Linked DNA regions of Notamacropus eugenii. The protein of the gene in region 1 interacts with the protein of each later gene in a pairwise test. Links are inferred from orthologs where the notes say so. Each region holds a gene or a part of one and is shown on either strand. Other genes may lie near its edges.

Region 1 (7,785 bases):
AAGCATCTGATGTTCTAATCCCTAGCCAGGGCAAGAAGTAAAGAACCAGCAGACAGAGAGGCCTTTCACCAAGGTGATCAGCAGAGGAATTATTGGCTGCTTTAAACAACAGAGTTTGCTCCCCACCCTACCTCAGGGGTCACCTCAGGTGGCTTATGATAGACATCTGGGGACCCCTAAACCTTTCTTCCTGCCAGTGCAGGGCAAGCAATCCACACTATCCCTCGGAGTCTGCAAAACCTATCTCTGAATGATCCCAGGGTGGAGGTGGGATCATTATTTCAAGGGTCAAGAGAGAGTTGTATAGGGAGAAATACACACACACACATCTGGGACCCTCTGCCTCACAATTGTCCAGGTCAGAGCTTAGCTTTCACAAACTTATTCCCTATCAAGAGAAGAATCACAGACTCTGAGACCAGTTTTGGCCAAGGAATGGGGCTGGAGTTCATTGTTACTGGATGTTTATTTACCCCAGTCTATGGCATCTTCCTACTACAAACCACTAGGGGAGAGAAGAGTGAGTGAAACAAGCTTGTGCCTCAGGCAGGTTCCTTCCCTTCCCTCCAGAAACCAGCCCAGAAATCTTTGCTGGTTTTCCCTTTATTCTAAAATGTTTATTTTTCTCTGTGGTTCTGGCTATCTTACCTTCCACCCACAAACCCCAAATGTGCTTAGAGGCCCTCTGGCATCCATTAGCCACAGCTGGGAAATTCTAGACTGGACACAGGGCAAAGACAGACTGTGGAGTTGAGCGCGATGAGTACAGACTTAACAAATGATATTTATATACACATCAATTTGAAGAGAAAAATGTATTTCTTTAGGTTTCAAACACTGTGTAACAAATATAATGCAAAAATAAAGACCTGTTGAAAAGTTCTTAGTAGTCTCCTTTCATTTAGGCCCTTGCAATGCCTTTGGATTGAGGTTGACATCTTGTAGCTAGAAGAAACTGACCCCAGGGAGTAAGGTGGCTGGTGTGCCTGGAGAGGGCAATACCAAGCTTGAGGTGTGCCATGCACTGGCTTCAGCAGAACAATTAGCCTCCCTTCTGTGAACATTACCAGGAGACCTTTGGAGACCACAGATCCCACTTGGATTCAGACCTAAGGAACAGCTTTGGGATAGTCTCTCTAAAAACATTAAACATGCTCTCATTTAGAAGCTAGTTGACAACAGAGATGTAAATTTTTTTCATTTACATTCCTAGACCCCCCTGAAATCCATTTGGACTCCAAGTTAATTAAGCACCTTCTGATAAATAAGGAATAACATTGAATTCAGTGTCACACCTATTTGTCTTGTCTCTGGCCTTGATTTATATGATGATAAGCAAGTCACTTAAATCAGATTTTTGAACTAGATATGACTTTAGAAATAATCTACTCTAACCTCATAATTTTCTAGATGAGGAAACCAAATCTTGGAGTGATTCCAAGGGTTCCCCAAGATCAGTAGGAAGCGAAATCTGAGCTCAAACATAGATCTTCTTACTCTGCATCCACTTCATTACATGCCATGCCAACATGAACTCTGTTTACCTATTTTTATCTATCTAAAAAGGTGGTACTAGTATTCAAACAGTAGTGAGTTCCTCCTCATTGAAGGTATTCAGGCAGAGGCTGAATGACCACTTGTCAGGTACATTTGAATAGGTTTTCCCATTGGGACTAAATGACCACTAAGTTCTCTTTCAGTTCTGATTTTTTAATATTCCTATTTCTTGCCTCCTAGAGACATTTGTGAAGATTACATAAGGTACTTCATTGTCAAGCACTATAAGATCGTTAGTTGCCCCATTCCCCTGGTGTGAAGAGGTTGGCATGGAGAGGATTTGATACTGATGCCCCTAATTGACCATGAGGGAAAGTTAGGTGAATGAACAGGCATGGGATGGAGTACACACAGTCACTGAGAAAGCTGGAGACTCAAATTTTTTGGTCCCTGCTCCTAGCATGGCCCTGGCAATAGACAAGAGGAAGGGAAGACTTAAGACAGGATACAGCTGCTCTTAGTAGTGAGGACCCCTAGACCAGGAACAGCTGTAGCTTAGGCCATTCCTCTTAGGAAAGAAGCTGCTTCCATACCCTTACATACCTGGATTTAGCCTATGGAGGTTGGGCTCAATGTTTCTAATCCCAATGAAGTAGCCACTCTGCCTTTGCACCAGAATAATCAGTCTGTGACAATTCCCCATTTGGTGGAGATGGCCCAGGATAGCCAGCACAGGTCTCCTGGTACAAAGGGTCACATCTGATAGGAAGAGGGACATGCAAGATAAAAAAGACAGTAGCCTACGGGCTGTGGTCTGCACAAAGCCATCCTATGGGGGAAGAGACCTGCATTAATTAGAGTCTCAGAGCCTTGTGGGATTTTAATGCAACTCCATTGTATAGAGAAGGAAACTGAGGCTCTAAATCAGTCATGGCCTAATTCTACAACAGTGAGTGAATATGTGAAAAAGCTGAAACAATATGAAGCCAGGTCTCCTTGCTTCCAGCCTGGGTTGCCACAATTCAATATTTAATTAGCTTTTTTCATGGTATAAATGAAGCGAAGCTCATAACATTGTATTGGCCTTTTGTGTTGATTATGATGAGAGGTTATGTGCAGGGTTATAACTAGCAATTGTGGCATTTGGGACAGTCTGTTAAGAATTACTCTCAAACCCCCTTCACGGTAAGAAAATAGTACAAGGATTACCTCAAGCATTCAGTTGAGTGGGAAAGGGAATCAGTCACTGTTGCAACTTTGATGCTGCTAGAGGAAAACATTTTTTACACTCTTGAACTTAGTGCCCTGTGGCAAAGCTCTGTTTGCCCCACTCTTTATCTCCAGGATTGACGGCTTCTAATTTCTGATCTCACCTCTGGAAGGAATGAAAATAGGTTCAACTTATCCCATTCTAGAAGCTGATGGGATTCCAGTGCTCTGTCTGGCAAGAGCCCTGGGCTTGCAGCTAAGAATTCTGACTAGTTTTATCTTTTACTGCGTGACAGTAACTCAGTTGTCCCCACTGGGTGTCTTTCTGTCTTCTGTCAAAAGAACTGCACCAGATAGTCTGGCAGGAAGTCATCCTCCTTGACGCTGGCTTTTCTCTGTCTTCTCATGGTCTTGCTCTCTCCCAGTTGTCCTACCAACCGATCTAATCACTCCTAAAATATCCTTTGCTAATGTCTTGTCCTCATCGGGCATGAACTAAAAATCTGTCCTGAGTCCTTGTCTCTTCCCCTCTATACTTTTTTAAGTTATCCCATCCGCCCTGTTCAGTCAGTTATTATATCTGTGCAGGTAATTCTGAGACTCACATCTCTCTTCTACAGCAGTTTCACATCAGGAATTTCCTACTAGGCGTTTCAAACTAGATATCCCAAAGGCCAGCCAAACTCAGTAGGTACCAAATGGAATTCATGAGCTTGCCCCTTAATCCCTCCCCTCCTCCAGACCTCTGTGATTCTCAGCATCACCAGGCTTTCAGTTGCCAGTCTTGATGCTGGGTCATCTCTGGTCATCCTGATGAATATCTGATCCGGGGAGGAGAAGGTGAGGCTGCTGACCTGCCCAGTCCTCCCTCCCTGCCAGCCATGCCATTCGTTTCCCTGATGTCAGGGTCCCCTTGAGAACAAAGGACAAAGCCTCTGCCATCTCATGGCGTCCCCTCCAGTTCTCCTGCCCCTTGTCAACCTTGTCTTTTCTGCCCACCTAGCACCTCCATCACCGCGCAGCGGCCCGCACTTCACCACGTCGCCAGCCTGCTTCCTTTCCTCTCCATCCTCTTACCGCGGCCCAGACGGCTTGTCCACAGGGCAGTCTGCCCAGGGCACCCCTCTCTGCTCAGGGCGCGCCAGGGGCTCCCAGTTACGGCCTCTAGGATTAAATACAGCCCCTTTTGGTGTGGACCACCAGCCCATTCCCATCCCCACGCTCTTCCTACACTTGCCCCGCCCTATTACCCTCCCCTCTGGAGGTCTACTTCCCACCGCCAAGCCTTTGCCCTTCCAGTCCCCTACGCCCAGGATTTCCTCTCCCTTAGAATCCGAGGCTTTTCCTGATCCTCTGCGGTTTCCCCTTGGCCTCCCCTCGTCTTCCTGGGGCCCGTGTGAAGCCTGTGGGGCTGTGTGCGCGTGCGCCATCTCCCCACTAGGGGGCAGTCCGGAAGGTGAGTTCGAATCCGGCCCCAGGCGACGCTGGGGACACGTGGGCGGGATCCACCCAAGTATCGGCCCAGTGCCCGGCACGCCGTGGGCGCCTAAGTGCTGTACCTCCTTACAAACGGACGGGGCCAAGAATGGAGGAAGACTGTCTGCGGACTTCAATTTTCTCTTTTTTAAGGAATAAAATTTGTCTTTTTTTTTTGCATCATCTCCAGCCTATAGATAGTGAGAGAAGTCCGCCGGGTAGGGCTTAAGCCCTCCTTAGGGCACGTTCTCTCGCGTCGGAACACAAGGCCCTCGAGGCAAGGGAGGCTTTCGTGGTGGCCTTGCACCCCGGCGCACAGGCCACGACACACGTCGGCGTTGGCGCGCTCCGTCCCCCTCCCACTGGGAGGGGAACATCGCTCAGCCCCGCTGCGCCCTGGGATTGGTTCTCAATCCTCACAGCGGAGCATGACGGGATCTGTAGTGTCCGTCTCTTCCCCCCTTCCACCTCCTTCGTGCCCAGCTTCCCCTCGGCTGAGACCGTCGCAGCCTCACCCTTCCCGACAGGCCTTGCAAGGCCTCTGGCTTCTGATTGGCTAAGGCTGGGGGAGGGGGCGGGCGTCTCCACCGGCAGCCGTTGTCCGGCGTTTCCGGTGTGAGGCCTGAGCCGGTAACCCTACGCCGTGAGCCTTGTTTGGGGGAGGGAATCGGCCGTAGGGGAAGAAGAGGCATCGGCTGAGGCGGGGGTGGGAAAGGAGAGCGAGGACCGGACGGAATCGCATCCTGCCTGACTCACAGGCCCGGGAGGAGCGCGCGGTACGGAGCGCGCGGACGCAGGGAGAGGAGAGGGAGAAGTCGGGCCTTGGCGGGGGAGTGGGGGGGGGAGAAGGAGAGCCATGAATGAGGGCGCTAGCGCGCTTGCGCGGGAACATCCCGAGGGGGCGCGAGGCAGAGCGGGGCGGAGCCCACGTGGGATGTGGGGCTGGGGTCTCCCGGAGTGGCGCCCCTCCCCCGGCCCTGGGAGGCGGGGACTGAGCGTGCCGGGGCTACTGAGAGGGGAAGCCCTGAGACGGGAGGGCCTCCGATTTGGGAGCTAGGCCCGGCCTGCGGGGTGGGAGCAGACCTCCCCGTCCGGCCCCTGCGGACGCTTGTCTGCGCACCCCCAGGTGCCCCCGAGGCAAGCCTGACTGGGGTCGTGGAGGAGCCCCCTCCCCAGGGAGTCCGGCCGAGAACCTTCAAGGGCGGGGGGTTTGTCTCTGAAAGGTTGGTTGAGCCCCGGCATCCTTCGGCACCATGAAGAATCGGGACAAGGAGGGGGGCGCCTCGAAGCTGCCGGCCAGCCCTTCCAAAGCAAAAGCCCCGGCCCCGACCTCGAGGCCCGAGGGCCAGCCGGCCCCCCAGGACTGCGCCCCCAAAGCAGACGGAAATGCGGGAGGGCCGGCCAGCCAGGCCTCGGCGGAGAAGAATGACGGTACGGTGCCAGGCCGGCCCGCAAAGCCGTGGGGGGAGGGGGGTGTGCCCGCAGCCGGCAGAGCGCCCCGAGGTGTGTGGAGCTTGGAGCTCTGCTGGCGAGGGAGCCTGGAAATGAGTCTTCCTCCTTTGGGAGCGGGAGGCTCCCACCAGCCCGAGGACCTTCTTCGGGAAGTGTACCTGTTGCTTTGTTTGGGAGCACAAGGGCAGATTTTCAGGAATCCTTGGGCACGCACTCGTGAAGCAGGACAGTGTGGGGGAGAGGGAGAAGGCTGTGGGCATCAGGGCCCTCAGGAGCCTCCGGGGGCTGGCAGGTCCTAGGTACGTAATGGTGGCTAAGAAGAAACTGCCCTCAGCTTCACTGGTTCCTCTCTCAAGACAGGAAAATAATCGTCATGACACACACGTCACAGCCCGGTTATAAGGAACTTGTTTTATGGCGTGGAGCCATTTGTTTTACTTTGTGCTCTGTTTTTTGTTGCAGCGGGGCAGACCAAGAATTCTCCGTCAGGGCCTGTTTGTGATGTCTCCGAGGAGCTGAGTCGGCAGCTGGAAGATATATTGAATACCTACTGTGTGGATAGCAGTCAGGAGGGACCAGGGGATGAGGGGGGCCAGAATGAGCACACAGAGCCAGATGAGGTAGAGAAGAGCAGGAATTACTCTGCCCGGAATGGAGAACCAGAGCCGGGGACCCCTGAAGTCAATGGAGTGAAGGAAATCACCAAGGGAGAGCCAGGTGTTGAAGAGATCCGGGCAAATGATGAGAGTGGGGACCGAGACCAGAAGCGGGTCCAGGAAAAGAAGAAGGCCAAAGGCCTGGGTAAGAAAGGTGGAAACCTTGGTACATCGAGTTTCAAGGTTTTATCACATTATCCCTGCTATTTCCCTTGTCTGTGAGACTGTTAGATCTCCTCCACTCCACCTTAGTGGTGTATAATCCTTGAGGGCAAAGATTTTGTCCTTTCCCACCTTTGTATGGCAGACACTGAACATAACAACAAATACCTCTTTGATAGAATTTGGTTTCAAGAGGTGAGAGAGAATTTGGAGACCCTGGGCAAGTCACTTATCCCTAGTTGCTGCCAAAAAGAGGGAGAGAAATTGGAGTAAATGTCATTTGTGGCCTGCCTGCTCTAGAGGCTCTAAGTGGCAATTGTTTCATGTATGCGGATCCTAGGGCTCAGGCTCCAGATGTCTCAGGCTTCAACTGTTGGGGATTTTTCTTTGTCCATCTCTTCCTTTCCTGCCACTTATTTTCTCTTTAAGAGGAAAAATGTACAGATCCTAGGAAAGCAACCCACTGAATGTGCCAGGGAAGATTCCTCAGCCTGCCCCTTTATCTACGTGGCAAATCTTGGGAGTGAACTGAGGGTTGTGCGGACAGAGGAGTGGGGATCTGGGGCTGAGAGCTAACCCTGTTGCGTGGAGGCGTATGTGAGGAAGAGTCACTCTGTGCCCCTGTGTCTTCCAGGGAAGGAGATCACTTTGCTGATGCAGACACTGAACACCCTTAGCACCCCAGAGGAGAAATTGGCTGCGCTATGCAAGAAATATGCTGAGTTGGTCAGTTTTGGGCCCTTCTGCAGGGTTGTGGAGTCTAGGGGACTCCAAGGTTGGCATGGGCCTGACCCTGAGGAGGAAATGTGGGTGACAGCACATCCCAGCCTGGACACTACACCAGGTGACGGGTCAGATTTGGTTCCTTGACGAAGACTGTGGAGGCAGAGATGAGGAGAGCCTCCCTAGCTGTGTTCCCCGGGGTCTCTGAGAGAAGGGAGAGGGTATTTGCAATATTCCCAGAAATATTGGATTGAGTCTCCTTTCAGGAGTTGTTCCCCCACTTTGGGGCCTGTGATGAATCTCCAGTGTGGATGGGGTCACATGAGAAATGACTAGGGGCTGGCTAGAGGGGCACTTTGCTTTAGATACTTTACCAGGGCCATCCCCTGTTTGGCAGCTGCCCTCAGAGATGGCGGGTGGGGAGCAGTGGTGCTCCTCAGGAGCTGGGGAGGCAGGCTCAAAGGTGGTTCATTAACACTGTCAAGGTCACACAGCCAAGAAGGGCCTGGCTACCAGAGCCATGACACTGTTCCTTCTCCAAATATAACCTGGTACTTTGAACATGTGAAGTGTCCATCCTCAGCCTCTCTAGCTACTTTGTTATGGGGGA
Region 2 (7,063 bases), on another chromosome or scaffold:
GAGGCTCAGCTAGATGATTTCTAAAGTCCTTTCACATTTTATGACTGTGACCTGGTGCAACTACTAACAAGGTACAGCGCCTAAGAAAAATTATTTTCAATGATCTTATCAACTCCCATTGATTTAGTAGTCATCTCTATGCAGATGATTCCCAATTCTATGTGCAGAGCCCTCATCTCTCCCGTAAGTTACAGTCCTACATCTCCATCTACCTACTGGAGATTTTTATCTGAATGTCTCACAGGCATCTCAATCTCAACATATCCAAAACAGAGCTGATTATCTTTCCTCCTGACTTCCCTAATTCTGTCAAGGGCACCACCATTCTTCCATTCACCCAGGTTCCTAACCTAGAAGTCACCCTCAACTCTTCACTCTCATCCCTTCCCACCCACCCCACCCTCAATCAATTATCAGGTCTCGTTCTCCCTCTTTAGCTTTCACTCTTGAAATTTGCCCACTTCCTTTCAAGACTCAATTCAACTGCTCCCTCCTTCAAGTAATCCCTCCTAATTCCCCTAGTGGTTAGTTTAACTTCCCCCAACCCCAACATTTTACATCTGTATTATATTTGCTTATCTATAAGTATGGTATAACCTCACACCTAGTAAATGTAATTCCTTGAAGTAATTCATTTTTGTAGTTATATTCACACACACACACACACACACACACACACACACACACACATACACACCTAGCCATAGTAGGCATATATTAAAAGCTGGCTAAGTTGACATCTAAATCTCCTTTACCAGTAGGAACTTTGTTTCTAAGGAATAGCAGCATACACATAATAGAAAATTTTCACTCCCTGTGTAGGAAGTTTATTTTAAATGTCTAGAATTTATAAAACATGTTTAGAACAGTTAACAAGAATATGCTGCCAGCATCTCTTCCCCAAGTAAATTTCATGAAAACTATTTAAAATATGTCATTTAATAGCACCAAAGCACAAACAGTAGTGTTTACTACTATCACTGTTGACGCCTTTCTTTGTATCCCAAGATCTAGTGGTTTTTGCCTTTCTTTGTATACCCAGTGCTTAGCGCAGTGCTTGGCATATGTGTGCTTTACTTAAATATATGTTCACAACTAAAGAACTACTTCGATCTTTTGAAATCTATCAGTATTATCTAGAACATACTATACTCTAAAGGCCAGTTTCACCTATGGGTACTAAGAATTCTCTCAGAACTCATAAAAGGTCAAGTTTTAATTTGGCAGACAAAGTAACCCAACAGGCAGTGCAACCCAAGCAAGTCAAACAACAGCCTGGAACTTGAGACCCCTAAACTCAACTAAGAAACAGAATAAATAGAAGAATCCTAATCTTCACAGTTCACCAACACTAAAAACATATAACTTTCTTCTCAAAGACGTCATGATAAAACTGAAAGGGTACAGGTTTTTAAGTAAAAGTATCTACATGAAACTAGCACATTACAAGCTAAAAGGAAAGACCACATCATTCTAAGACCCTAAAGAAACTCCTTTGATACAGCTTACATGATGCAGACAAGAAAACAGTGTATCCCATAAGCAGTAGCCACTGTTACTGTTCACACTGAGGAGTTAGACCTATGTTGACATGGTTGGAACGACCTTCCATGTGAAAAGTCCATACGTCCACCTTAATCTGAAGCGGTGATTCTGTACTGCTCACCTTAAATAAAGGTTGGCCAATTGAGCAGCTAATGAAATCCTGGCTCTGGTTTCTCACCCACCTTCTAAGTATTGAATTTGAGGGCTTCCAAAATAGCCCAAAACTGCACTCAGCTATTCATCTGACCCTTGTGCTTTTCTCCCACAAACCGGCCATTTAAGCTCCAAATGTCCAGATAAAGGAGCAAAGGAGTTCAGCAAGTTAAAACTAAGTAATGAATTATAAAACTCACTGCCACTGTATTCATATGTTTCTTGTCTCCCCAAATGGACTACTGGCCCTTCAAGAGGCCTTTACAATGCCTACCTAGCACTGTGTGCCCTATACCTAAAGTAGGCATTCAATAACTATTTGTTAATGATCATACCAGAGGGCCGGATTCCCAGGCCAGAGTAAGGAACCTAACAATCAGGCATACACCTGACCTCAAATCCCACAGCTATTTTCCCTTTAGGGGCTCAGAACTCTAGGTCACTCTAATTGCAAGTCTCTTGTTTTCTCTCAAGACTCGATGACCGATAACCACTTTCTCTGCCAGGGCCTGCCTCCTTCACCTGCCCTCTGCCAGGACCTGCCCCATTCTCCCCTTCAGCACTCGCTGCAGATCGTCTTCTTTCGAAGCTGCTTCCTCCAGGCAACATCAGCAAGGGCTCATCCCCGCTCCCGGACCGAATGCGCCATGGAGTCCCCGGCGCCGCCGCGTTCTCGAGTGGCAAAGAGCAGCTGCAAACCTGGCACGGGGTGGGCAGGGGAGATGGAGAGGGTGGGACAGGAGGGGACCCTCCCCTTTCCCGAGGCTAAGCATATACTGCAGTGTGCCTTCGGATCGCTCTCCCTCCAGCCCCATAGTCGCCAGCTCGGGTCAGCGCCTCGGCAGCTGCACCGGGCACCCGAGGTCCTGCCTCGCTGGCACGGCACGCCGCACTTGGCACCGGCCCGGTCCCGGCCCGCACGCTCTCCCGGGGCACCGCCGGGCACCCCTCCCCCTCGAGCCCCGGTGCGGACCCGGGATCCCCGGCACTAACAGCAGCCCCTCTCCCGCGCGGCGCTGAGCCCGCCCGCCGGGGGCCGCTCCAGCCGGGCTCCGGGGTCCGCTAGCTCCCGGACAGGAGCTCGCGCCCGCAAGGACCCCAGCAGGCTGCCAGGCTACCCAGCTGCCTTCCTTCGGGGGCGCAGCAGGCTGCCCTCCGCCGCCGCCGCCCCCCAGCAGTACTCACTTCCCGGGGGTGGGGGGAGGATCTCCGGCGGCGGCGGCGGCGGCGGCGGCAACCGGAGCCTCCTCCTCCTTCTCTTCCTTCTCTTCGGTCCGCTGCCCGCGGCGGCGGCGGCAGCAGCGCCCGCCCAGGCCCCGGAGCCGCCCCCGCGCCTGAACGTGAGCAGCCGCCCGGCTCGCGCCGCTTTCCCCAGCCCCGAGCGCGCACCCGAGCCGGAGGGGAGGGGGGAGGGGGAAAGGGAGCTGGGGGGCTGGAGGCGCGCAGCAGGGAGGGGGTGACGACGGCGCGCGCGGCTCAGCGCCTCGCCCGCGCGAGAACAGGCACGGGGCGGGGGCGGGGCCTCGCGCGCGGAGCTCCACTCCGGTTCTCTCGAGCCCTTCCCCCTCAGTCCCTGCGGAGCTCGGCCGGCTGTGGGGCGTCCCGGGGGTCCGGGAGCCGGGGGCCCCAGAGAAGTTTCCCCTCAGGAGATTCTCCGGGCCCTTAGGACAAAAAGTGCCACCTGGAAGCGGGGCATCCCTGCTAGTGGGAGCTCCAGTGCCTGCGCCAAGGTGGGAAGCAGAACCTCAGCCCGAGAGGAGGCTTCTTGCTACCTGTACCTGTCGAGCGGGGGGCGGGGAGGTCTTGTGGATGGAGCCGAAGATTTGCGTTCACTGTGGCCCGGACCAGTCACTCAACCACCCTGACCTTCAGTTTCCTTGTCTGTGAAGTAGGACTAATTACCCACCTCCCTAGTTGACTGTGAGGAGCTAATCAGATAATGTATTTTGTGAAGCCAACGTGCTATTATATAAATGTCATTACTGTTGAAAGGGTGATGCACCCCTGTGCCCTTCACGTGAACTAGATGTGACTTTTCCATATAATTGAAACGTATCTAAGTGGTGGTTTTAAAATATACTTATTATTCATTTTATATTATAATCATATAAATATGAGACAACCTGGCCCAGCCTTCAAGCCACAGAAGACCTGCATTCAAGTGGCTATATATGACCCAGGGCAAGTAACTTAATCTCTCAGTGTACTAGGCAACTCTCTTAAAAGAGGTTATAAATTACAGAGAAAATACTGAACTGAATTGATAGAGGGAGTTTTCTCACCTGGGGAGTTCCCTTATACAGGTCTAATCCGCATCCATACATACTTGTATATTCGTGAAATTTCCCTCACCTTTGTGCTCCAGCTAGAGCATTCCCCCTTTAGACCATGCATAAAACTGATCTGAGCTCCCCTGACCACTTTCAGTGGACTGCTTATGCTCGGGTTTAGCATGGGGAAAATCTGGGTTCAGGGATCATGTAAAAATGCCTTGGTCCCAATGGTGGCAGCAAGGGGAGACAGATGCTTCGAAAGAGACTTGACCACTGAGCCAGAAAGAGCCACTCCCTCCGTAAACCTTGAAAGGAGTGACTGCCCTCTGGAGGACTGCTTTTTTCAGTTTGACAAGAATGGCATGTTCTGTGAGGATTTCTCTTCTCATAAGAGAAAGGGGTACATTCCTCTCCCCAACTTATCAGTCTCTTGTTTCATTGAAGTCTGAGCATGTGTTTGTCTAAGTGAGCCTGGGTAGGAATCTCAAGGCCTTGGCTGCCTTTTTTGCTTTTTATTCATTCTCTTAACACAAGTGACCAAACAGTAATCCTGAAATGGACATTTCCAGGTTTGGAGGCATCCTGATGAGTCTGACAGGTCAGGAGATCTTGCATCTCATAGTTGAAGCTGATGAGAAGTGGAGTTTTCTGTAACTATTCCTTTCTCAGAGAAGGTGACCGCCAACAAACAGGAGGAAAAACTCAAGCCCTGACTTGTTTTGCTAGAGAACTGTACCTTTAAGAAATTGTTCAAAGAGGGCAGAGACAAGGTGAAGATTAAATGATTGTTTAGCAGCTCCACAAAATGTTTCATGTTTTAATTTTTTTAAGTTCCAACCTCCTGAGAGAGTAGAATAGGAGTTATGACTTATTGTATCATATTTTAATGAGTTACTGTAACATTTTAAGTCTTTACAGTGTACATTTATGAGTTGTTTTTTGAGGATTTCTTTTGTGGAGAGGAAATAAATGGCTGTCCTCTAACTAAGCTATATTGTACATTTAGTAACTGTCTGATCCCCTTTGGGGAGATTGTACACATGAGCCAAGCTAAAGCTTTAATTGATTTTTCTGAGGTTTTCAACATAGGGACATAACAAGCAAAAGACTACTTTTTAGTAGTCTTCAGATCCCTCTCTTCAGAGTCCAGGTTCCCCCAAGTCAGAACTTTGTGGATACTTCAAGTGATCTACTTGCTGTCCAGAGAATTCTCAAAATCTTGCCGATTGTATGGTGCTTAGCCCTCCTTATAGTCATATACTGCTACTGGAAAAACCATAGCTTTGATTAATGGACGTTTGTTGGCAAGGTGACATCTCCACTTCTTAGTAAGCTGTCCAGATTTGCCATGGCTTTCCTTTCAATGAGCAGGCATCTTTCAATTTCATGACTTCAGTTGCTGTCTGCTGTGATCTTTGAGCCCAAGAGCATAAAATCTGACACTGCTTTTGTTTCTTCTCCCCTGGTTTGTCGAATGATAGGAATAGTTGCCAAGATCTTAACAGGTTTTTTTATGTTAAATTTCAAGCCAGCTTTTACACTCTCCTCTTTCACTCCCTCATCAATAGGCTTCTTCATTCTTCACTTTCTGCCTTAAGAGTAGAATTAAATACATATCTGAGATTGTTGCTCTTTCTCTTGGTAACCTTAATTCTGGCTTTTGATTCATCTAGCCTGGCATTTCACATGATATGTACTTTGCTTATAAGTTAAATAAATAAGGTGACAATGTACAGCATTTTTGTACCCTTTCCCAATCTTAAAACAATAGGTTGTTCCGTGTTTTGGTCAAACTGTTGCTTCTTGCCCTGCATGCAGGTTCCTCAGGAGACAAGTAAGATGATGTGGTATTCCCATCTCTTTGAGGACCTGACACATTTTGTGGTGAGCCACATTCTTAAAGGCTTTAGTATAGTCAGTAAAGGAGGAAAAGATGTTTTTTTCTGGAATTCCCTTGTTTTCTCCATAATACAGTGAATGTTGTCAATTTGGTTTCTAGATCCCCTGCCTCTTTGAAAACGAACCTGTTTTTCTCATAATTCTCAGTTCACATATTGCTGAAGCCTAGCCTGAAGAATCTTAAGTATAACCTTGCTGATATGTGAAATGAATGTAATTGTTTCGTAATTTGAACATTCCATGGCATTGCCCTTCTTTATGATTGGGATATAAACTGATTTTTTTTTTCAATCCAGTGGCCACTGTTGAGTTTTCCATTTTGCTGGCATATTGAATGGAGCACATCTTTTAGGATTTTAAATAGCCCAGCTGGAATTCAGTCATCTCCACTAGAGCCTTATTGTTTTCAGTGCTTCCTTAAGGCCTACTTTGACTTACTTCTGTAGTATGTATGGCTCTAGATCAGTAACCACACTATTGTGGTTATTAATGATGTTAAAATCTTTCTTGTATAGTTCTGTATATTCTTGCCACCTCTTTTTAAACTCTTCTGCTTCTGTTAAGTCCCTACCATTTTTGTGTTTTATACTGCCTGTTTTTGCATGAAACCTTTCCTTGATACTTCTAATTTTCTTGAAAAAATCTCATCTTTCCCATTCTATTGTCTTCTTCTGTTTCTTTGCATTGCTCATTTAAGAAAAGCTTTATTTCTTTTTGTTATTCTCTGCAATTCTACTTTCATTAAGTTGAGTATATCTTTGCCTTTCTCCTTTCCCTTTCACTTTCCTTCTTTCCCAAGCTATTTGTAAAGTCTCAATCAGTCGTTTTCCTTTGTTGGTCTTCTTTTTCTTTGGAATATCTTTTGTTGCTGCTTCCTATATAATATTGCAAACCTCTGTCTGTAGTTCTTCAGGCACTCTACCAGATCCTTTAAATCTATTCATCACCTTCACTTCTTAGTCATAAGTGATGTTATTTAGGTCACACATATGTGGTCTGAAGATTTTCCCTACTTCTTTCAATTTAAGTCCGAATTTTGCAGTAAAAAGCTCATGATCTGAGCTACCATCAGCTCCAGATCTTTTTTTTTTTTGCTGACTATATAAAGTTTCTCCTCCTTTACATGCAAAGTATATAATCAAACTGATTTCAAGATTGACTATCGAGTGATGTTCTTGTGCTGAGTTGCCTTT
Region 3 (7,549 bases), about 88 Mb from region 1:
AGGGAAGCAGAAAACTGGGAAAGAATTTTTACAGCTAGTGTCTGTAATAAAGGCCTCATTTCTAAAATACATGGAGAACTGAGTCAAATTTACAAGAATACAAGTCATTTCCCAACTGACAAATGGTCAATGGATATGAACAGGCATTTTTCAGAGGAAGAAATTAAAGCTATCTCTAGTCATATGAAAAAATGCTCTAAATCACTTGATTACAGAAATGCAAATCAAAACAACTCTGAGCTACCACATCACACCTGTCAGATTGACTGACATGACGAAACAGGAAGATGATAAATGTTGGAGAAGATGTGGGAGAGTTGGAACACTAATTCATTGTTGATGGAACTATGAGCTGAATCAACCACTCTGGGGAGCAATTTGGAACTATGCCCATAAGGCTACAAAAATGTGCCAACCCTTTGACCCAGCAATCTGACTTCTAGGGTTGTATCCCAAAGAGATCATAAAAATGGGAAAAGGACCCACATGTACAAAAATATTCATAGCAGCTCTTTTTGTGGTGGCCAAGAACTGGAAATGGAGGGGATGCCCATCAATTGGGGAATGTCTGAGCAAGTTGTGGTATATGAATGTAATGGAACACTATTGTGCTATAAGAAATGATAGACAGGCAGACTTCAGAAATACCTGGATAGTCTTATATGAACTGATGCTGAGTGAAATGAGCAGAACCAGGAGAACATTTTACACAGTAACAGTCACAGTGTGCGAGGACTGTTTTTGATAGACTTAGTCCTCCACAGAAAATCAAGGACCTAAAACATTTCCAAAAGACTCATGATGCAAAATGCCATCCATATCCATCAGAACACAGAATAAAGCAGACCATTTTCTCTTTTGCTATGTTTGGTTTTGTTTAGTTTTACTCATGCTTTCTCCCATTCATTTTAATTCTTCTATGCAACATGACTAATGTGAAAATGTGTTTAATAAGAATGTATGTGTAGAGCATAAGATTGTATGCCATCTTGGAGAGAGAGAATGGAGGGAGGGGAAGAAAATTTAAAACTTATGGAAGTGATCGTTGAAAATTGAAAACAAATAAATAAATTTAAAAAAAGAAATTCCGAAGAATTATTTACGCTTGCTTTGCAAATTGATTTGAGCTAAAAAAAAAAAAAAAAAGTGATGAAAGCAATACAATTGTTCTCCACCCTTCTTGCTTTAATTTTTCTACCTTCCCTCCCCATCTCTCTTTCTCTCTTCATATGTATATTATATATGTATATATACACATATATACATATATGTGCACATGTATATGTATGTGTGTATGCATTATGCATGTGTGTATACACACATACTATATATGTGTGTATGTATATAATGTACATATGTATATATTTTTATGTGTGTATAGAGAGAGAAGGGAGAAAGAGAAAGAGAGAAAAATGTAGGAACTGAGATCAGAAAGGGAAGAATAATTATATTGTTTTCTTCACTTAATTTTATATACATATATCGTTAATATTACATGTGTATTCTCTAGAATTATATTCATTATATGTCAGCAGCACATGTGCATGTATTTACATATGCATATACACAAAACCAACATCAAGTTTTAGTGCTATATTTTGGCCAGCAAAAAGCCTTGTAGTCTCCTTACTTTAAAAGTAGTTCCCGTTTATATAACACTTTGTGTTTTGTAAATACTTTCATCTCAGCCTCGTAAGCTAGGCAGTGCTGGTATTATCCCTGTATTACAGATGAGAAAACTGAAGCTCAGAAAAAGTCAAATAACTTCCCCAAAGTCATCCTGCTAGTTAGTGGAGGAGCTAAAAGTATAGTGAAGTCTCCCTACTTTAACACAACTGTTCTTTTACACTACAATCAAGCTTCTCTTTTAATAAAGTCCAAAACAAGTAAGCATTGGACTTAAAGCCAGAAGAGCTTGGTTTAAGTCCCAGCTCTGCCACTTACTGTCTATGAGCAAACTAGTTCATCTCTCTGGGCCTCAGTTTCCTCATCCATAAAATGGGGTAACTTGTACTACTTCTCTTAGTGAGGTATTGTAAAGAAAAGGCTTTGTAGACTTTAAAATGTTATCTAAATGTAAGCTCTTATCATTACTATTAAGCAGAATTTTCTCAAGTACGAAAGGAAACCTCAGCACTTACCCCATCAGATTCTGCTCTGGGTTCTCTATCTCAAGACGCGACTCCATTTTACCTAGGTTTCTTGATCTTTTAACCTGTTCAGAAAGGGAAAAAATAATAATCTAGAATATCTAAAGTATTTATTAATCTAGAAAATTATGGAATGCTAGCTCTTGGCAAAATTGTCCATTTTAAATTTTCCTTAGAAAATGTGACACTCTTTCTCTTCAATGTACTATAAACAGAACTGCTAAGTGACTTGATTTACCTATGTGTGACCTTCATCCCCCCCTTCCATCTTCTCTAGCAGACTGTAACCTCTATCACACTCACCTTCTTGCTCTCTCTCATTCACTCTTTCCTTCCCTCACTGTCTCTAATCTCTCCCTAGAGCTACTTGATTGCTTCCTGCCTTCAAACATGCCCAAGTCTCCCTCAGATTCTCACTAGACTCTACTGCCCCCTCAAGCTATCATTCTATATCATCCCCCCTTTTTCAGTCAAACTTCTAGAAAAAGCTGTCTACCTTCATTGCCTCACTTCAGTCTCATCAAGTTAACTGAATTTGTTCGCTCCAAAGTTACCAAGTCTTTCAATTTTTCTGTTTTCTTAGTCCTCGTCCTTCTTGACCTTTGTGCTGCACCTTTCTTCCTAGATACTCTATTTTCATGACATTGTTTTCTTTTTTCTCCTCTTTCCTTTCTAATTGCTTGCTCATTATCTCAAACACACCCCTAACTGTGAGTGTTCTCCAAAGCTAAGGCTTGAGTCCCCTCATTTTCCTTATTGTCTTAATGTCCACATAAGTTCCCATGGGTTTAATTATCACTCTATGCTGATGACTTCTAGAGCTATATATCCATCTAGAGCTATATATACATTGACAGTCTCTCTCCTGTCTAGTCCACATCTAACCCTACATCACTAACTGCCTATTGGACATTTCAAGCTAGATGTCACAAAGACATCTCAAAGTCAATATGAATAAAACAGAAATCATTAATTTTCTGTCCAAACTCTTTATCAAATTTCCCTATTTTTTTGAGACTTCCAGTCTTCCAGATTAGTAACTTCATTTTTATCCTCGTCTCATTCTCCCTGACCCCTTCCCTGCATCCCCCCGTCATGCTGATGGCCAAATGTGTCATTTCTAACTCTACAACATCTTTTCATGACTCCCTCTCTATTCACATAGCCACAACCTCAGCGGTTCAGGCCTCATCACCACTTGCCTACACTATTGCAATACTGCTGTAATTGGTGTCTCTGCCTCAAGTCTTTCCCCCTCTAATTTATTCTCTACAGAATTGTCACAGTTATTTTCTTTAAGTGAAGATTTGACCAAGTCAATTCCCTTCTCAGTAAAATGCAGCAGCTCTATATTGCCTTAAAATACAAACTCTTTTAACGTCCTCTACAACTTGCCTCCAACCTGTTTTGATATACATGTATTGCCTTTACCACACTTTATGGTCCATACAAACTGGACTCTGTTGCCCTCTCTCCCTCCCTCCCTCTCTCCCTCCCTCCCTCCCTCCCTCCCTCTCTCTCTCTCTCTCTCTCTCTCTCTCTCTCTCTCTCTCTCTCTCTCTCTCTCTCTCTCTCATTTTCCTATCACACCCCTACACCTCACAGAATCAAGCACCGTCTTCTCTAAAATGTCTTTCCTGATTTCCTCACCTTCTATGCCTACCCTCCTCAACTAACTGCTAGTGCTGGCCCTCCCCAACTATCAAGTATTTAACTATTTTGTATTTAATATATTGCTTGCCCCCCATAAAATATAAGCCACATGGGAGCAAGTTCTAAGTTGTACTTGATTTTGTATATACCCAGTACCTGAAATATTAGACCACACAAGATAACATATGTATAGCACTTTTCAAACTTTAAAGTGCTATATAAGTGCTATTATTGTTATATGGTTAATAAAAACTTGTTGGTTGATTATGTTCAGCTTCATGTAAACTTCTTTGCCTTTTTTTTCTGTTCCTTTTCTGGAACACCAATATGTAGGGGGCTCAAGGATATGATACAAATTCAAGTACTCTAGCCACTGAAAACTACAGCTCTTGAAGTCCATTCTAGAGTTGATTCCAGAAGTCAGCTTTCAAAGAGTAAGTCCCAGACTTTAAAAATACTTGCTGCCTATTTATTTCAGAGTTGTTTGTTCCATCAACCATCAAATATATGTGTGTCTATGTATAGATGTATATCTATATACATAGACATATATGTATATTTAAATCTGTGAGAATAAAATGGAATATACCACTAAAGGCTACTTATGGAGAAAAGAGAAAAATACAAAAATACTCTAATTCTATAAATTAGAGTATTATAAAGAAGAGGAGGAGGGAGGGGAGGAAAAGGAGGAGGAGGAGTAGGAGAGGGAGAAAAAATTAGGTGAGGAAGAAGACAAGGAGGATAGAAAAGAAGGGATGAAGAAGATGGAGGAGGAAGGGTTTGGAGGAGGAGGGGTTTGAAGGAGAAAGACAGAGAAAAGGATGGAGGAGAAGGATGAAGAGGAAAACGGGAGAAAAGAAGGAAGGAGGAGGAAGATGGAGAAGTATTAAGGAGGTAGAAGGATGACCATGACATCAGGATGGCGATGACATGACATGCAAGTGAATTGGATTTTAGTGAGTCAGGGTTGTTTAAAGTCACCAGCCTCACTTTCTCCTCCGGAGCCAACTGGGTCCAGTGGCCAGATACAGATCAGGATAACTGGAGGTGACTTCAAGGAGGTGGAAGGAGGAGGAGGAGGAGGAGGAGGAGGAGGAGGAGGAGGAGGAGGAGGAGGAGGAGGAGGAGGAGGAGGAGGAGGAGGAGGAAGATGGAGAAGTACTAAGGAGGTGAGAGAAGGAGGGTTAGTTGGGCTGGGATAATCTCAAATCAAACGTTTCCAAAGCCCCACTACCACCACCTCTCAAACCCCTAATCCGCACAAAGTTCCCAACTTGGCTCATCCTTCGCCACTCGCTTCCCCGGGGTCCGGCCCGGGGAGCCTCCCTATCCCCCTGTCCGGGCCGGGACAGCTCCCGGGTGTTGGGAGAAGCGGGGACACTCGGGAGGATCACCGGGAGCGGGCCTGGACCTCGGAGCGCCTTTAAGTACCTTGCCTGCTCCCGGCTCTTGACCGTCCGAAAGAGGGGAGGAGGAGTAGGGTAAAGTCGATGTAGCCCGCCACGATCCCGGCCTCTCCGGGCGAGCCGCTGAGTAGCGTGCCGTGGCCCTGGCCTCGACCCCAGCCCCGGCTCCGGCTCCGGCCCCGACCCAGACTGTCCTTTCTTCGGCCAGGCTCGGCCCGTCTCTTCCCCAGCTTTCCTTCCGGCCGGGCCGGAGCAATAGCAGCAGTGGCTGCCGCGGCGGTTACGGGCCTGGCTCCGACTGGCTCTGCCCGCCACGGCTCCCGCGGCTTCCCAAGGCGCCCCAGGTTGCTGTGGCAACGCGTGCCCGACCCCACCCGCGGAGGAATGCCAAGGCCAAGCGCGCCTGGAAGCCCCGGGACACTCCGAGGGTGCCGCTGCCCTGCCTGCGTTCCAGCGGGGCTCGTCCTGTATACCAGGGGGCTTTTTGGGATCCCCTTGGCCAGCTCCAGATCTTAAGTTAAAGTGTAAAAGAAGGGACAGGACGGTGGAAAACAGTAGGTGCTCCCTAACTGCCCACATGGATAGCCACACTGGCTCATCTTCAACGTGCCTTGAGTTTTACAACAGAAAGTGCCAGGCAAAAATGTAACCAACGACCTATGACAAAATTTATGAGTATTCCCTACTCAGAAATAGTAGTGAAGGTGTGTGGCTATGTATATTCATATGTATGAATATAATATCTTTGAAAAATGAAAATTCACCTTAGTTTTATTGCTTCCCTCTAGTAAATTTTGAGCTCTTTTGTTTATTTTTCACTTTCATAACATGGACACTGATTTGCTATTTTATTACAACTGTTCATTTAATACTTTTTTGTATATCCATCCAGTTCCATTAAAATTATAAAAGACAAATTTGATCATTTCTCATCAGCATGAATTTCTTAGATGTACTCTATAAGTGGCTTAGGTAATGAGTTCTAGTAAGTGTTCCTTTGTTCTTCCCACTGTGACTGAATAAAGAAGAGTCTTCATTCCATCTTCACTTAAAATCTTCTATGATGTTGAAAGACTTGGTCATGTTCTTGAATCATTTCTAAATTTCATCCTTGATTTGGAGAAGGGAAAATGGATCTTGAAAAGAAATTTAACTTATTATCATAGGATAGCCCAAAGTCACTTATATTCATTCACCCGATATGAATTCGCACTAGTCCATATGCTAGCAATATTGAGCAAGTCCCTTTTAGCATTAGGAACTTACATAAATTCATTATCATGAAGATCCAGAAGTCTGACTTAAGATCTGTGGGAAGAACTTATAGAAATATATGGCTGAATAGGAAGAGTTTGATTTCTCAAGAAACTTTAAAATCTGACTCTAGACAACCAGCATAATAACAAATCAAGCCCTGATTTGTAGTTTGCCAATGTCTGGGGTGCAAATGCTCAGGCTGAAAATTTAACAATCTACTCTTGTGAGCTGGTACTAGCTAGTTCCAATATGCCCAAAGATCCTACCAGTTCTTTTCCTGTCCCCCTTAATGTTAATACCTTTCCTCTGAGATTACCTTCCATCTACCATCTATCTGTGTGTCTGTCTGTGTACCTTGTGTATACATAGTTGTATGTTGTTTCTACCATTAGAATGTAACCTCCTTTGGGGAAGAGACTATTTTTGCCTTTCTTTGTTTTTCCAGGCCTTAGCACGTCTGGCTTATAGTAAACACTCAATAAATGCTTTTTGACTAACTCGTACCTGTGATTTAAGCCACATTTTTTACAAATTAAGGTAAGTATAGGGGCAAGACTGTCAACAGCAAAGTAGAAGACTGCTTAGGATCATAAATTTGGAGCTGGAAGAAGCCTTAGAAGTCATCAAATCTACCCCGTCAGCCCTTGTTTTATTTACAGATGAGAAAACTGAGATTGAGAGGTTGAGACATGCTTGGGATTACACAGCTGGAAAGTATCTAAAGCAAGATTTGAACTCAGGTCTTCCTAACTCCAAACTGGCTTTATTCTCTATGCCACCTAGCTGTTTGGGTACCGTGATTCCACTGTTGCCTGGGATATACCTCAACCCCATAAGTATTTGCCCTATCTTCTCATGAGGTTTGCCTGTTGCCCCCTGCACCAGAGGGATAAAGTCTTCTACAATTAGAGTTAACTATTTAAGCATGAATACCCCAATGTAAGGTATCAATTACTAATATCAGAACCTTCCTTAAGAGTAATTTTTGAAAAGGTAAGGGAACAGAGAGCAAAAGGGAGTTAGTTCCAGAGAAAGGAAAGGGCTTCTGAGATTATTATAATGGTTGCAGAAAGAGGAGGG
Region 4 (7,790 bases), on another chromosome or scaffold:
TCCCAGTAATTACAGCAAGAATCCAGGCAATGAGGGCCTGGAGGGGAAGATTGTCAGGAGAGAAGGGGGCATATTCCAGAGATGTAAAGGTGAAATGGACAGGCTTTGACAACTGGCCAGGGTCACAGAGTTAATGAATATCTGAGGCTGGATTTGAACTCAGGTCTTCCTGACTCTATCCACTGAACTATTTATTCTCCCCCCCTTCTTAGTTTACATAAATTAGGTATTTTTTAAACCATTCTATAATTACCATTATCACAGGAACAACACTTCTGAAAACAGCCATAAAGTTTTTGGTTCTTCCTATTCTAAGCTTACGCTCGTGATCACAGTCTACCATCTGAACTACTCTAATAACCGAACTGCCTTAAGCCACAGATCCCTCTGTCCACATGCAGTTATAGGAAAATATTTACCAACGGTGCAAACTCGTAAGTGCCTTTATCTTCATTAGTCATTCTGGAAAGGTTCCCCATTAAGTCAAGAAGCAGAGATGTAAAGGGGCTGACTAGAACATTTCCCAGTCACTTTCCGAGTATTTTTCTTCAGGTCATCATGTTTCCAAAGTCAAACAATGAAGGATGGACTTTGGTGCACTGGTGACTGAATAACAACTCAAAACACAAAAACCAAGTCTGACCCCCATGCAGCTACTCCCCAAATTCACATGTGCAGAGGGTGCTGGTGGGAGGGAAGTTCAGGCAGAGCCTGAGGCAGGCAGGCACTGCAGTAACCTCACCCCAACAGGACAGATGAATAGTCACAAATTAGGAAGGAAAAAGTCAGGGACGGGGCATATCTGAGAACCGTCAGATGTACATTTAGAGTCTTGTTTGGTTTTACTTCCAGTGAAGGGCAGAGAACAGCCTCAAGAAATTACCACCACACGTGGTCCCTGATGGACCATTTCATAGATAGTACTGCAGATTTTATTTGAAATTTTCTGACTAAGTCACACCATGCAAAACATTTAGCAAGATCAAGGTTAAAAACATTCATACCTGTGGGAGTGCAGTATTGAGCTGTCTCTGCAAGGAATCTCTTTCATGGCCAACCTCATGCAACTTCCCCTGAGTCAAGGCAAGCGTTTCTTGAGTCTCTCGAAGAGTGTCCAGAAGACGATCTCTTTCTTCCAACATGGACACCATTAATTGTTCAAAATGTGAATCAGCATCTGGCTGTAAAGGGGAACCAGAACCATGGCTTCCACCTCCTCCTGGGGGAATTTCTGCCTCACTGATGGTTGGCATCACCTCGCACATCATCTTGAAATAAAAATTCAGACCATAGTCATTAAATGCAACTCTAGAGTCCAGAAGCAATTTAGAACAATGTGCAAACTCAATACATCATCACAAGTTAAAATGGAAAAGCATATTTTCTTTCTGGCCTTCTTAAGAGTAATGCTGTCTCTAAGTGCTACACAAACATGATGTGAACTGGAAAAATCAGAACATCCACCAGACATCTAAAAGCCAAGAACTCTAACTGAATGAACGTAGAAAAGATTGGTATGTGCTAAAACTTGATCATCACCTTTCATTAAAAATATATAAAAAAATTTTTAAAAAGGAAACTTGGTGACCTCTTAAAAAGCAGCATTTTTTCTTAGTTGCTACTTTCTTAAAAAATGCTCTTTCATAGTTTCTAGTTCCTGGTCAAAGAAAGCAACAACCCACAAAATATACCTGGTACCCCATCATCTTTCAAGATGCCAAAAGAATAATTAATCGATAGAATGGACAAGTGCTAAACCCATCAAGGTCAATCCAGGAATACGTATGGGCTACTACTGGAGAGGACAGGTAGAGGTCCAAGTTCTTGCACTGGACTTGGTGACTAGAACAAAAAGAAGCTAAATTATTCAACAGCTGGGAGAGCTTTGGACCGCAGTAACCACTCAGCCTTATGGGGATGGGCTACAACAAACACTTAGTGTGTAGAAACAGTGGATCAACATGGTCACAGAGAAAAGGGGACAGAATAAAGACGAATGGCAAAATTTGAGAATACCTCTCAAATATTAAGGGATGAGAAAAAACGACTTTTAAACAGGATTTGAGGAAAGCAGGGAAATCACGGCTCCTCTAGCCCAGGGCTTCTTGGTCGTGCCCAAGACCCCATGAACACCGTGCAGCCCTTCTTGGACGGTTTTGAAATGCATTAAAGAAGATAATGCAGAGAAAAGCAAAGAAAACATACATTTTGCAAGTTCCCTGCCTCCGGCCCCTGAAGACAGCTTTGGTCCAGGAGTTCACAGGAATAAGTCCCCCTCTCCGTCTCACACATGCTACAGTATCACCGCCTGATACAGTATCGCACCAACAGACAGGACCAGCCGCCTTTCTGCCCGGGGAGAGCTTTCGGGGTACACGCAGGATTTGTATCAATACTCAATACACAGTTACGAAGCGCCTCCTCCGCTCCAGGCCCCGGACAGAGAAGTGAACTTGCGGCTGCCCCGGCGGGACCAGGAAACAGCAGGAAAGTCAAAGACAAAACACCCCCTCCCAGCTCGGTGGTGCCAAGTCCTTCCTTCGGGGGCGGCGGAGGAGGAACCTCCCGGGGACCCCCCAACCCCCGTCAAGCCCCGGCCGGGGGTCAGAGGTAAAATCAGAGCCTTCGGCGAGGTCTCCAGGAACACAGCAGGCACTTAATAAGTGCTGACTGTACAAGGTCTCCGGCCCGGCAGCGACGCCCCGAGGAGAAGGGATCGCTGGACCCGATCCACCCCGGCTCGGCGCCCTAAGGTGAACCGTCCGACCCCTCGGTGCCTCAGTTTCCCCACCTCCGCGGGGGACGCCCGGCCCCCACTCCCCGGTCCGAGCTTGCATCCCGGCCACGACGGGGAGCTCCCTCCCCGCCGCCGCCCGGCACTCACCTTGGCTCAGGGCCCGAGCCGGCGCCGGCGCCCAGACGGAGCCCCCGAGAGGAGCCGAGGCCGCGCGGGGAGGAGGAGGGAGGCTCGCGGCCGGGGCGGAGGAGGAGGCTCGCGGCCAGGCCGGAGCCCGGGCCCGCTGCCCCGACCCCCGACCACCGACCCCCGAGGCAGGCCGGCCCGCCCGCCCGCCTGTCCCCCTGCCCGCCTGCCCGCCGCGGCCGGACCCAGGAGCGGCGACGAGTAGGAGGCAGCGGCGGCGGCGGCTGTGGAGGAGGAGCGGCGGGAGCGGGCCGGGCCGGGCCGGGACGCGCGTCATCCGCGTCATCCGCGCGTCATCCGCCGCGGCGGCGGCGACGTCCTGGCGTCACGACGTCCTGGCGTCAGCGCCTCTGCGTCGGCCCGCGGCCGTCTGCGGCTGCGTGCGTGCGTACGTGAGCTTGCGTGCGCGCGCCTACGGGCCCTTCCCCTGAGCTCCCGGGGAGAGCCGAAGGAGGAGCCCGAGCTCCCGGAGGCGTACGCGTGCGCGGAACTACCCAGGTGTAGTTCTTGGAGTGGAAAGGCAATTCACGCCCATCGTCCTCTACCCCGCCGCCCCACCGGGATGCTAGGGGGACGTGCGCGTGCGCGAAACGACTCACGCTTACTTTGGGAAAGGAGAGGGAAAGGTAGAGGGAGACTCTGGGACGCCCGAAGTATGCGCCTGCGCGGAACGACCGCGGCGTGGTCCGGCGGAGAAGAGTGTGGGGCGACGTCTGCCGATGTGCGCGTGCGCCAACAAGCCGGCGGAGCGAGGAGCCCCGCGGAGACCGGGAGAGGAAGAGATGCGCGAAAGAACCTGAGGGAATAAGGAAAAGAAAGATGGAGGAAAGAGATAGAAAAAGAGGAGGCGGAAAGGAGGACAAATAGCGAAGGAGAAAATGGAAGGAAAAGAGGCAAAGATGGAGACGGGGGGACAGGACCGGGCCCAGGGAGCCCAGGAGGACCAGAGGAAAGAGAAGGGCGCCATGGGCCTGCAGAGCCTCCGGGAGCGCCCCCCACCTCTGCCTTCGTCCTCCGGCGCCCGGGGCCGCTTCCGGTCCCCGAGAGATCGTGGGGGGGGCGATGCCCACTCGGCATCCGGACCCCCGGGGACTGGAGGGCCCGAGACGCCCCGGCCCGGTTCTGCCGCTCCCCCAGGGGATGAAGGATGAAACACCTACAAATCCTAGAATTGGGAGGGTTCCTACTGCGGACCCCCGGGAGTAGGTCACGTGCTTAACTACCTGCACTAAATGGGATCATTATGCAAATTAGGGTAGATGTTTCCCCAGGAGACGCGCGGTCAGATTTGCATGATACATTAGCCCGCGGGACTTGGGGCAAACCCTGGGCTCCCCACTAAGGAGAAGTAAGGAGTAGGGTGAGCGCTCTGTCCTGTCTTCATTCCTTTACGGTGGGACTCAGCTGAGAAAACAAAGCAAAGCTGAGCCAATTCCACCCGGAGAGGAACCCTAGAAAGCACCTAGCCCGAGCCCGTCATTTTAGAGACAGGAAAACTGAGGCCCAGAAAGGAGGAGGGATCTACAGTGTCCGTCCCACGGCTGGATATTCCCTGGTACTCGTCTCACCCTTCCTTCTGAGACGGGAGAGACAGTGGAAAGAGCCCTGATTGCAGTCCTGTCTCATGCTGAGCACTCCTGTGACCTGCAACAAGTCACCACCCCCTGGGCTTCACTGTCTTCCTCTTTAAAACGAAAAACTTGGAGTAGGTGGCTTCTGGGTCTGCTACTCCACGATACTGTGATCCCAAGCTCCACCTCCGTCGTTCCCCATTAGGTGCAGGATCCTGGAGGGCAGAGCGCTGCATCCTACTTGTCTTTGCAGCGGAAAGGTCTCGCACCCTTGGTGCCTGCATACAGCAGGCGCTTCATGAATGTCTGTTAATGAATGAGTTTAGTGAGTAGCAAAGCCGGGTCTCTGAATTTCCAAACTGGTTCTCTCCCCACTACAGAGCTCTCTAGGTATTGCTTGGGGGCAGACTAATACAATTCAATCAATCGTTCTTTAAGCACCTCCGAGGTGCCTGGCATCCTAAACTGGATGGGGATACAAAAGGAGGAAAATGGAAGCTCCCTGCCCTCAGGAAGTGCACAATCTAAGAAGATATACAACTACAAAATGCTTCCTAAGTAGCCAAGTTCAAGGCACTTGAGAATATAAATACAAAAAAAAAAATCCTCCTTAAGGAGTTTGCATTTTACTTGGGGTTAGGAGGACAACTTGTAGCAAATAATTAAAAACTAAAAACCACTTGGTTTTCTGGACAGCCTGAAGGGGAGGGGAGGGGGATCAGCAAAGGTCTCCTGTAACCTCAGGCACCAGAGTTGACCCTACAAAGAGGTCAAGGTGAGGACGGAGGGGGAGCACACAGCCTCCCGGGCGTGCACAGGCATGAACACTGGAGAGCAAATGTTGAGTTCAGTCAACAGCGCTAGGCTCAGTTTGACCTGCCCATCAGCGTGTGAACAAGAGTAAGATGATGTCCGAAAAGCATCAGGGCCACGTTGGTGAATGCCAGGGTGAAGAGTTTAGATTTGATCTTAGAGACGATGGGAAGCCACTGATGATTTTGGATGGGGGGGGGAGGGGCGGTGTTGGTGGTATGATCAAATACGTGACAGAGAATATTAACTTAGCCACCTTTTGGAGAATGGAGAGGGCGGAGTTTGGAAGAGAGGTGACCCATGAGGTGGTTGTAATCTCAATGAGGGATGGTGGGAATGATAGGGTGAGATGTCGGGGAAAGAGAACTGACCAGACTTTACAACTGATTGGATAAAGAAGTGGAATGAGTCAAGGAGGACTCCAAGGTGGCATCCCTGGGTGATTGGGAGGATGGAGAGTGGAGGAGGGATGACTTTCTAGGAAATAGTTCTATTTTGGGCATATTACGAATGAGATGCTGATAGGACATCAGGTGTAAATGTCTATTAGGCAGACTGGAGTTAAGATGACAGGTAAGGGCTGTGTATATAATTTTGGGATTCTTCTGAATAGAGATTTCAATAGAACTCACAGAAGCAGTGAAGAGGCTGATTGCTATAAGTGACTAGAGAGCCAGTCTTCAAGTCAGGAAGACAACTCCAAATTATACCTCAGATAGATATCGACTGTGGGACTCTAGGCTAGTCACAACTTCTGAGTGCCTCTTGGCAACTCTATTAGTTGTGGAGAAGGTACTACCCTAAATGGGTGGGCTAAGTTTCTTCACCTGGAAGTTCCCTTCCTGCAGAGATGAAACCATAGGTCCTTTTGCTTTGGGAGCTGGTGGGCTTTTAAGGACAATGTCCAGCAAATAGGAATCCCAGGACAGAGCCTTATAGGATACCCAGGGTTAAGGGGATAGAGCCAGATGATGGCTTTTCAAAGGAGAAGGAAGAGCATATTGTTGAGTTGTCTCAGGTTAGATGGTGAGTTCCTTGAGGGCAGGGATTGTCTTTTACCTTTTTTTTTTTTTTTTTTGTATCTCCAGGGCTTAGCTTAGTGCCTGGCCCATAGCAGGCACTTGATAAATGTTTATCAATTGATAATTTTGTAGTCTGACAGATAGGAAAGGCAAGGAAGAACAGGACTCAGGTAGGGGTGAATGACTGAAAAAGGATGAAGGGAGCGGATGGGGGTGGGAGGGGAGCATCGAATTTAGCAGTTGAGATGCTTGAGAGAGATAAGGAAAAGGAGAGAGAAGAGAGGAAAAGATGAAAGGAGGAAGGAGAGAGAGAAGGGAAGGGAAGGGAGGGGAGAAGAGAAAGAAGAGGGAGAGAGCAGTTTTAGTCAGGTGATGTGGTCAGAAACTAGACTACAAATGGCCAAAGAGTGCATTTTAGGGTTAGGGTTAGGGTTAGAATCCAGGACAAATACTTATTCTATTAGAAGTGTGAACAAAATTTAAGGAAAGATTTAGGCTAATAGCTGGGAGATCTGGAAGGTTCAATGAGCATTAATCCTGGTGGGAGGGCTTTAGCTGGGCCCTGGGGTACCCAAGGGTGACAGACAATTTAGTGCCTGCCCTTAAGGAACTTACACTTTTGAAAGGAAATAAGATGAGGCATCTCCCCCTCCTAACTCTTTCCAGCATCTGAGGTACAGGAGAACTTTCGAGCCCCCTGGGGGGAGAAGCTACTTAAAACCATCAAGCCTTATCAACAAATCACTTTTACTAAGCACTTGCCTCCCTTTGGGAAAGGGATAAGAATACGAGTGGTGTATCCAAAACCGAAATGGTTCTCTTACTGATGAGATCACCAAGTGAAAGGGTAGAGAGAGAGAGAAGGCCCAGAACCGAAGCCTGAGGAACACCCCTGGTTGGAGGGCATGATCTGGAGGAGGATCCAGCGAATTATCATCTCTAAACTGATGATTCTCAAATCCACCTTTCCTGCCCCAACCTTTCTAGTGAGCTCCAAATTTACATCTCCAGATGTCTTTCAGACATCCCGTTCTGGATGTCCAGTAGACAGCTTAATGTCCAAAATGAAATTCCTTGTCTTTTCCCCCTCCTTCCTTCCCATCCTCCCAGTCCCCCAGGTTCTGAACCTGGGAGTCATTCTGGACCCCTTACTCTCACCTACCATATCCAATGTGGTGCCAAGGCCTGTGAATTTCACCTTTGCAACAGATCTCAAATGCATTCCTTTCTCTCCTCTGACATTGCCACCACCTGGCAATTGGACTGAGGCAACAGCTGCTGGTGATCCTGCTGCCTCGTGTCTCTCCCCACTGTAGCCCATTCCCCATTAGGCCACCAAAGGCAATTTCCTAAAATGCAAGTCTAACCATGTCCCCCTCTCCCACTCATTAGACTTGGACATCCCTTTCACCTCCAGGATCAAATACAAAATATTCTGCTTGGCATTCTAAGCCCTTCCCG

What was found.
Region 2: the proteins of TXLNA (region 1) and DTNB interact in binary tests that used the Homo sapiens proteins (3 or more experiments, as listed by UniProt). The two-hybrid records come from large-scale screens. The link is inferred for Notamacropus eugenii from reciprocal best matches to the Homo sapiens genes TXLNA and DTNB.
Region 3: the proteins of TXLNA (region 1) and DEUP1 interact in binary tests that used the Homo sapiens proteins (3 or more experiments, as listed by UniProt). The two-hybrid records come from large-scale screens. The link is inferred for Notamacropus eugenii from reciprocal best matches to the Homo sapiens genes TXLNA and DEUP1.
Region 4: the proteins of TXLNA (region 1) and PPFIA1 interact in binary tests that used the Homo sapiens proteins (3 or more experiments, as listed by UniProt). The link is inferred for Notamacropus eugenii from reciprocal best matches to the Homo sapiens genes TXLNA and PPFIA1.

What each region holds. Positions count from the first base shown.
Region 1 is NC_092876.1:77,660,302-77,668,086, reverse strand, and holds the start of TXLNA (alpha-taxilin), read left to right. Parts: upstream 1-4,778; 5' UTR 4,779-4,958; intron 4,959-5,405; 5' UTR 5,406-5,435; coding exon 5,436-5,613; intron 5,614-6,096; coding exon 6,097-6,435; intron 6,436-7,086; coding exon 7,087-7,178; intron 7,179-7,785. UniProt on the Homo sapiens protein: May be involved in intracellular vesicle traffic and potentially in calcium-dependent exocytosis in neuroendocrine cells.
Region 2 is NC_092872.1:526,514,826-526,521,888, forward strand, and holds the start of DTNB (dystrobrevin beta), read right to left. Parts: upstream 3,015-7,063; 5' UTR 2,884-3,014; intron 1-2,883.
Region 3 is NC_092876.1:165,501,992-165,509,540, forward strand, and holds the start of DEUP1 (deuterosome assembly protein 1), read right to left. Parts: upstream 3,009-7,549; 5' UTR 2,653-3,008; coding exon of another isoform or gene 2,647-2,652; 5' UTR 2,472-2,646; coding exon 2,454-2,471; intron 2,216-2,453; coding exon 2,142-2,215; intron 1-2,141. UniProt on the Homo sapiens protein: Key structural component of the deuterosome, a structure that promotes de novo centriole amplification in multiciliated cells.
Region 4 is NC_092873.1:22,487,627-22,495,416, reverse strand, and holds the start of PPFIA1 (liprin-alpha-1), read right to left. Parts: upstream 3,019-7,790; 5' UTR 2,885-3,018; intron 1,269-2,884; coding exon 1,005-1,268; intron 1-1,004. UniProt on the Homo sapiens protein: May regulate the disassembly of focal adhesions. May localize receptor-like tyrosine phosphatases type 2A at specific sites on the plasma membrane, possibly regulating their interaction with the extracellular environment and their association with substrates.